Daphnia pulex: one gene and its partner. The protein of the gene in region 1 purifies or fractionates together with the protein of each later gene. This does not show direct contact. Links are inferred from orthologs where the notes say so. Each region holds a gene or a part of one and is shown on either strand. Other genes may lie near its edges.

Region 1 (3,873 bases):
TACGGCATTTGCAAAGCTTCGCTACAAGTACACCTGTCTAAAGGATGCAATGCCAAAAAACGACTCAAAAGCTGCAGCAAATCATCTCCGGCGGCGGTGAAAATATGCCGCATTGGAATCACGGGGAAAGCCTTAAACTGAACAAAATCTGGTAGCGAAAGCAGTCCCTAATCAAGGAAATATGACTAGAGTTTAAAGGTGGGAGACGGTTGAGTTCAAAATTGTTTTATGTACTTACTGGCCAATTCTCTTCGTTTGGAGTGCCCAAAGTTGTAAAAATACGTGTAAGTTGATCTAAGTCAGATTCTCCAGGTAAAAAGGGGAGTCGAAGCAAAAGTTCAGCCATTATGCAACCTACTGCCCATACATCAACACCGGTACCGTACATTCGAGCACCAAACAACAGTTCTGGACACCTAGTTTCAGGTGTGATCAATTTTAATTTCAGCTGAATATTTATGTTGCATTTCTTCAAATTACCTATACCACCTCGTCACAACCTGGTGAGTGTAGATACGAGTGGGTGATGCAAACGATTTTGCCAAACCAAAATCACCAAGTTTCAGTATTCCTTGACGATCAACAAGAAGATTGTTAGGTTTCAGATCCTAAAATGGTAGTTGAAAAAAAAAGAATGTGCATACTTCTGTCATAATGTACAGGGGAAAAATATATATTATTATTATTACTCTGTGAAGAATAAATAGAAGATGGAGATATTCAAGTCCTTGAAGTGTCATAAGAATGTAAGCTTTAATGTGTGCTGGAGTGAGAATGATGGTTGTGTCCTTGATTATTTGCTCCAAATCAGTATCCATAAAGTCAAACACCAGAGATACATTAGAACGGTGACCAAAGACATCAAGTAAACCAATTATATGGTCATGCTTGAGTTCTTGGAGTAACTTGATTTCTCTCAAAGCTGTTCGATTGATTCCATCTCTAGCCTCTTCTCGTGAACCCAGTTTAATCTTGAACAGAAATAGTGTTAGTATTTTATAAACGAACCGGAAACGCTGAAATGAAAACACATTTTTTAAACCTTTTTAACGGCAACTATTTTGTTATCGTTTAGAGTATCTTTCGCCTTGTAGACTGTCGCAAACTAAATTACAAAATAAAACAGTTGAACATACACAAAAGACAGTGCCAATCAAAACCTTACCTGTCCTTCTCCCAAAAATTCAATCTTTTCATATCGCTGAAGTCTAGGTTCTCTTTCTCCACTCACGTGCATTTTTCATTCATACACTCAAAGTTTCTTTCAACTTTTAATCACCCGTCAAGAACGATTATTTTAAAATGGAATTTCACTCGTCAACAGGTGGCGTGAAAAACTATTGTTTATCTTTCTATTACCACCGCTAGATCGATCTGTTCTACAAAATGTTTCGGATTTTGACATCTCAAACCTGCTTCAGTTCTATTTCACATGTGCTTTATCACTAAAAATCTGAAACTTCTAAAATTCACGGCGAATAAAATGGGAATTGCAGATACGTAGTAAAAATGCCGAGTAATAAAAAAGGTTCTGAAAATGATGAACCCCAAATATAGACAGGCTGACCATGGTGAGTTCGAGTTGACTCCTAGAAAAATTCCCTCGCAGAATGTTGTAATTCGACTGATTCGTCGAGAGACTCATGTCAAACCCGGAAACTATCACATTTGCCGATCATTTTATCAAAGTGTTGTCCCAAATTTTACAATTGTCAACATAGAAAAGCCACCATGCTATTTGAGAAAATTTACACCCAACGGCAAGTACTTTATTGCATTCTCTTCAGATCAAACTTCAGTGGAAGTTTACAAATATCTTGGACCAAGTGCAGTAGAAGATTTACTTACAGATGTTCCAGGAACGAGAGAGTTTGTTGGAAATGATACCAATGAAGCTGTAAATTTAAGAAGTAAAGTATTTTCTAAATTCTTCCAGTTAAAGCATACTATTGCTGTAACTCCTGTTGGTGAACAACTAAATCGCGAATGCAGTCTCTTTGTCGGTGACGGAAGATTTGTTATTGTCGGTTCAGCCTCGTACGTTCCCGAAGAGCCCCAGCCAAATTTTTTTGATATTTTCCGTAATAATGAATCCGTATCTCCTCATCCTCGTTCTCCACTAGAAGATTGCTCACTTCACATCGTTGACATCGTCAATGGAAGGCTCTGTGATACTAGAACAATGAAGACCGACAAAATCTTTCTCTCACACAACCAAGGACTTTACTTGTATGAAGACACTCTAGCAGTTCTCTCTGTCCAGCATCAAACGATACACATTTTTAAAATTTCACACGATGGCTATTTTGCTGATGTAAAAACTATAGGTCGATTTTGTTTCGACGATGACGAATGGTTAATCAATCAAGTACGGGGACTTTGGCCTTCGGGTCAGTTGGTTCGTCCGTTTCGAGAGGCAACTGTCAACGCGCTCAAGCATCGTTTACTAGTGTTTCTCTACCGACGAGCAATCAACATGGCTGAAGCCGAAGGGAATCTCTTTCACGTACGAAAGTTCTATCAGAACTTTGATCACATTCGCGCACTCCGAATCTGGAAAATGCAGTTGTTGGATGAGTCACATTTGCTTCTGAAATATGCTAGTGAAGATGTGGTTACACTACGAGCTCCAGACCCAAATACGCAACCGGCCTTCTTTGTCGTTTACAATATGGAAAACGCACAGGTATCTTGATTATAATTAAAAGAAAAAAACTTAATCCCACGTATTATTGTTTTACAGGTTATTAACGTCTATGAAAACACAAGTCAGGAACTACTGAACTTGTTCGAGAACTTTTGCGATTTACTACGCAACGCAACACAAGGATCACCGTCCAGCAACGTATTTGCAAACGTCATTCATCAACGATTCAAGCAGACCATTGTCAGCGCTCGCTTTGGTGGGCAGACGGAAGCCACAAAACGACTTCTTTCACAACTTCCCATTTCAGCACAATCCTATTCCTCTTCGCCTTACCTTGATTTGCAGCTGTTTTCCTATGACGATAAATGGGTTTCGCTCATGGAGCGTCCAAAGACTAGTGGAGAGCACCCCATTCGTTTCTACGTCCGTGAATCTGGACTGCTGCGGTTTCGCATTTATGCTGGTATTCTTGGCCGGCCAGCTCCGCCTTCTTCTGCCCGTCGCCTTGTTGCTTTCACGTTTCATCCAACAGATCCATTTGCCATAAGTGTTCAGAGAACCAATTCCGAATATGTAGTCAATTTTCACGTTCGTCACATTTAAATTCATGATTTAAAAATACAAATCATTTGTGCTGTATTGAAGTGGTGCCACTGTATGTATTTCATTTTTTTAACGGGGGAAAGGAGTCTAACTAGCGTCTTCTGATTTACGGAACTCCTGGTTATTTCTCATCATTTCAAGCGGAAAAAAAATGAAGAGAGGCGGTAAAATAGTAAAGAGCGCGGCCAAAGATTGAGAAAAAAATGTTTTAAAAAAGATTTAAGGGAAAAAAAAAAAAAAAAACTGATGCAGACACCGAAACGTAACACGATCATGAAGATATTACACCAAATTGTATACAAACTGCCCGATACCAAATTCATGCCCGCGAACGGTTAAGACTTTCAGGTGATGTTGCTCTTTTTACATAGCAGGACTTGCCAACTTGCTCTGAATGATGGATGTTTTCCTGGTAGGAACAGATTCCGGAGTTGGAATGGCATCCCCAGTTGGGTGTCCAAGATTGGCAGGTGGGATTACTGCTGTTGTTGCTGCAGTTGGTATTTTAGCTGGTCCTTTTTGTTTTGCCATTTGGTAATCTCCAGAGTCAAAGTACTTTTGCTACAATAAAATTATAAGTGAAATAGAATTAGTTGGTAAAACATTTCAGTTGGCAGATTGCA
Region 2 (4,035 bases), on another chromosome or scaffold:
TGGCAGTTTGTGATCTACTTGTCTTAGATCATAACCATATTTATTAATGTAGCAATCTGCTACATTTGGCGATGGAAAGTATGCCATATCCAATTCTTCAGCCAACTCTTTGGCTAGAGCCCTTTTCCCAGCAGCAGGTGGCCCTTCAACAACAATCAACTTTGAATTCTCATCTAATCGGCTGGTGGTGGGATCAAACAAAGCTCGTAAAAAGTTGTATCTCTTTTCCTTGTATGGGAATGGAGCTGGCTTTTTAACAGGGGGCAATCCTTGGCGCATTACTTTTCCAGAGATAGAACGCTGTCCTACTGTAATCACACATTGTTGTTGTTTCCTTGCTATGATGACAACACTTCCGCATAGCTTTGGAGAAGACACTCTGCTGAAGAAGACCATCTTGTATCGTTTTAAAGAAGCAAGTTATTCTTTACCAATCTGGTTAAACCCTGCAAACAATCAAAAACATTTAATATTTAACAAATTGCACTCCACATTTCTACTACAGCACATTAAATACAAACAAATTTAACTCTAATTTAATAATGAGTTGGAAGCAACGAAAACGAAAGTAGGCATGGACAGTTTGAAACTACCTCAAAGTTACGAAAATGCTATTAAATACTCAATTTGTACCGAAACAGTTAGTTTTTAAATTATATTAAGCAACCATAACATAATAATGAAAATAGTGTTTTTCTTTTACCAGACGGCCATGTAAAATTTTCTTTACCTTTCCTTCTGGACCGCCAACGTTGCCTTGCAGAAAGAACAATCTTAACAATGAATAAAAATATAATCAATATTTGTCCGATTGGCTAGAATAAAATTAAAATAAAATAAAGAAATGTGTAAATTTTAAAAATCTAATAATCTATACATTTTTGATTTGCTGTCATAACTTGGCAACTGAGTGAGTTTAGTTTGATATTCCAATATGGCGGCATCCATAACGCAAGTGTTCCGTGTCAACTCTTGTCGGCTATTGTACTGTAATCGTTTTTCCAAGGTCGCTTTCCCAGCATTCTCTACTCAGGCCACAAATCTTAAGGTGAATAATACTGAAGTTTCGCTATCGAATTTTGCATATCAATAACACGTAAATCTTGTACAATCTTAGAAAGGTAAAGGCCTGATTTTGGGAGGCTATTCTTCCAAGAAGACCGAAACCGACGTCGACTCTACAAAAGATTTCATTTGGACTCAGGCGGCTAAAAGTTTCAATGATCAAGTGGCCAATCGCTTAAACGATGCGTTGAACTGGTAAGCCCATCCAATAAGTCTTGATTCAATCAAAATTAGGTTTGATGTCAGACATATGTTGTGCATTCAGCAGCTAATCTGACCTGAAATTCTTTATAATGATAGAAACAAACAGAAAATTCTGACTTGTTTGTGATGTGTTTCAGGTCAGATCATCTGTAAATGTGACATACGAAAATTCAAAGCCTGAAGATGGCAGGCCGTGGGGTTAAGAGGGGTCCCCAGTCTCTTCTGTTTGGGGGTGTAAAGGACACGTATGAAGACAGAGATAGTGATCTTCTCTGCCCGGTCTGCTTGGATATGATGTCGGAACCTTACGTGACTACATGTGGGCACAGCTTTTGCCATGGATGTATTGTCAGAAGTCTGGAGTTAGCGAGCAAATGTCCCAAGTGCAGCGGTCCCCTCGACAGTAGTGGCCGAAACCCATCCGTTTTCCCCAACGTAACCCTCAACGCATTAATAACCAAACAGAAGAAGAAATTAGTCGAGAGTCAAGATGGAAATATTTTGATGAAAGACTTTACTACTCTGTTGGATACTCGGGATTGGCATCCATCAGAATTAGTTCGCATGCAAGAAGTTTTGCTTCGGAAACAATGTGATCTTGATGGAGAACGAAAACTGACCGAAGCCCAGCTACTTAACGAATTCCTCCAACAGCTCAAAACCAAGAAGAACAACGAGTTGAGAAATGTTCAACAAGAACTAGAGGTGCTTGACAAGGATTTAAATATGGCGCAAACCCTAAATCCTGGCATCGATTCTGCTGCAATTAAAGTGGAAAATTGTGAAGTCAACGAGACGGCCTTCAATTCATCCATCGCGTCCACACCGTTAAGCATCAGTCAACGTCGTGTAAGAATGCACCAACATTTCGAAGATTTAGAGGGGAAATACTGGGCACTTCGGAACAATCGTCTCGGTGGTGAGGAAGAAGAAAAGAAAAGTTTACTCGACTTTCAATCTAATTTGAACCAGTTAACGCGATGGAGTAGACTAAGGCCTTTGGCTAATTTGAGCTACGGAAGCGAACTCCTCAACACGGCACACATTGTCAGCTCGATCGAATTCGACCGAGATGCTGATTTTTTCGCCATCGCTGGTGTGACCAAACGCATCAAAGTGTACGACTACGCAGTGGTTGTACGGGATGCGGTTGATCTTCACTATCCTGTTATGGAGATGGTGGCGGGCTCGAAGATATCGTGCATATCTTGGAGTGCCTACCACAAATCGGTTCTGGCAAGCTCCGACTACGAAGGCAGCGTATCCGTTTGGGATGCGTCCGTCGGTACTCGTCTGAGGGTCTTTCAAGAGCACGAGAAACGCTGTTGGAGTGTCGATTTTAATCGCATGGACAGTCACTTGATGGCCAGTGGCAGCGACGATTCCCGAGTCAAAATCTGGAGCTTAAACGCTGAACACTCTGTGGCCACTTTGGAAGCTAAAGCCAATGTCTGTTGCGTCAAATTCAATCCGTACTCGCGTTATTGCTTAGCCTATGGCGCAGCCGATCATTGCGTCCATTACGTCGACCTACGTCAGCCCAAGGAGCCACTACGGGTCTTTAAAGGCCATCGCAAAGCCGTCTCTTACGTCAAGTTTCTTAGTGATCGCGAATTAGTGTCGGCCAGCACGGATAGCCAATTGAAATTGTGGACGGTTGAAGACAACGTTTCATGTCGATCTTTTCGCGGACACACAAACGAGAAGAACTTTGTGGGCCTTTCGACGACGGACGGCAGCCAAGACGATCGACGTGATTTGATTGCTTGCGGTTCGGAAAATAATGCCCTTTACCTCTACTCGAAGGGACTCAGCCAGCCTTTACTTCATTATCGTTTCGACGTTGTTAAAAGCGCTTTGCTATTGGACAAGGAGCGGGCCGAGCAAGAAGAGAGCGCCGAGTTTGTTTCTGCCGTTTGTTGGAAACCCGACTCCAACGTAATCGTCGCTGCCAACAGCCAGGGAACTATAAAAATTCTCGAACTGGTTTAGGGTGGTAATTTTATTGTCAATTCCCATCATCATCCATTTTGCGAATTTTCTATTTGGTTCTGGGTTGTCATTCCCCAATGACTTGAATGCTGTGTTCTGCCAAAACGTGATTCCCCTGTTGTGCCTAATCTTCATTTAAATTTTATCCTGCAAATACAGTTGTGAATTTCCTTTGACTATATTTTTCATTTTTTGTCGTTGTTATCCCCGTGTTTATTTCCCCTATCCCGTGTCCTCTTTCAATTCCAATCCCACAGGAGTGGAGTACCGAAGAAAGGCAAAGCTCGAGTGCTGTACGGACTAGATCGTGAGTTTCCGGCTGTAGCCGTCGTCAATTTGGGCCCAAATCCTTTGGATGATTCCACCATTTTCCAAAAAGAAAATATCTTGGAGGAGAGAGACACAGCCAGGGAGAATCTAAGATGCGGAATTGCAGGCACCTTATACTTGTCTAAAATCTTTTTTTTTTTTTCTTTTCTTAATGAATCGTATCTTGCAGCTGGTGTGAAGGCCTTGCAAGAAGTTGGAATTGAAATTGTTTCAGTCGACCCTTGTTCTGATGCCGAATGCGCTGCTGAAAGTGCCTCCCTGACCCGCTGGCAGTTTCAAGATTTGAAAAATGCCGCCAAACGTAAACCCGAACTCGATTTGGTATTGCACGGAAGCGATGAATATGGGTTAGCGAGAAAGAATTTAACGTAATTTTTCGACTTCGGCCTTAATTTATGTTTTGCTATTATTAAAGGGAGGCCCAGTGGGAGAGGGGTTTGACGA

What was found.
Region 2: the proteins of DET1 homolog (region 1) and E3 ubiquitin-protein ligase COP1-like purify together in Homo sapiens (affinity purification with western blotting; 11 studies listed by BioGRID and IntAct, counting the BioPlex papers as one, with this or other methods). This does not show direct contact. The link is inferred for Daphnia pulex from reciprocal best matches to the Homo sapiens genes DET1 and COP1.

Annotation. Positions count from the first base shown.
Region 1 is NC_060020.1:945,266-949,138, reverse strand, and holds DET1 homolog, read left to right. Parts: upstream 1-1,371; 5' UTR 1,372-1,537; coding exon 1,538-2,686; intron 2,687-2,743; coding exon 2,744-3,250; 3' UTR 3,251-3,286; downstream 3,287-3,873. Other genes in the region: cyclin-dependent kinase 7-like, read right to left, coding at 1-167, 239-416, 481-608, 690-971, 1,043-1,105, 1,166-1,237; cAMP-regulated phosphoprotein 19-A-like, read right to left, coding at 3,614-3,811. UniProt on the Homo sapiens protein: Component of the E3 ubiquitin ligase DCX DET1-COP1 complex, which is required for ubiquitination and subsequent degradation of target proteins. The complex is involved in JUN ubiquitination and degradation.
Region 2 is NC_060028.1:8,377,518-8,381,552, forward strand, and holds E3 ubiquitin-protein ligase COP1-like, read left to right. Parts: upstream 1-1,260; intron 1,261-1,406; 5' UTR 1,407-1,452; coding exon 1,453-3,261; 3' UTR 3,262-3,437; downstream 3,438-4,035. Other genes in the region: NADH dehydrogenase [ubiquinone] 1 alpha subcomplex subunit 10, mitochondrial-like, read right to left, coding at 1-396. UniProt on the Homo sapiens protein: E3 ubiquitin-protein ligase that mediates ubiquitination and subsequent proteasomal degradation of target proteins.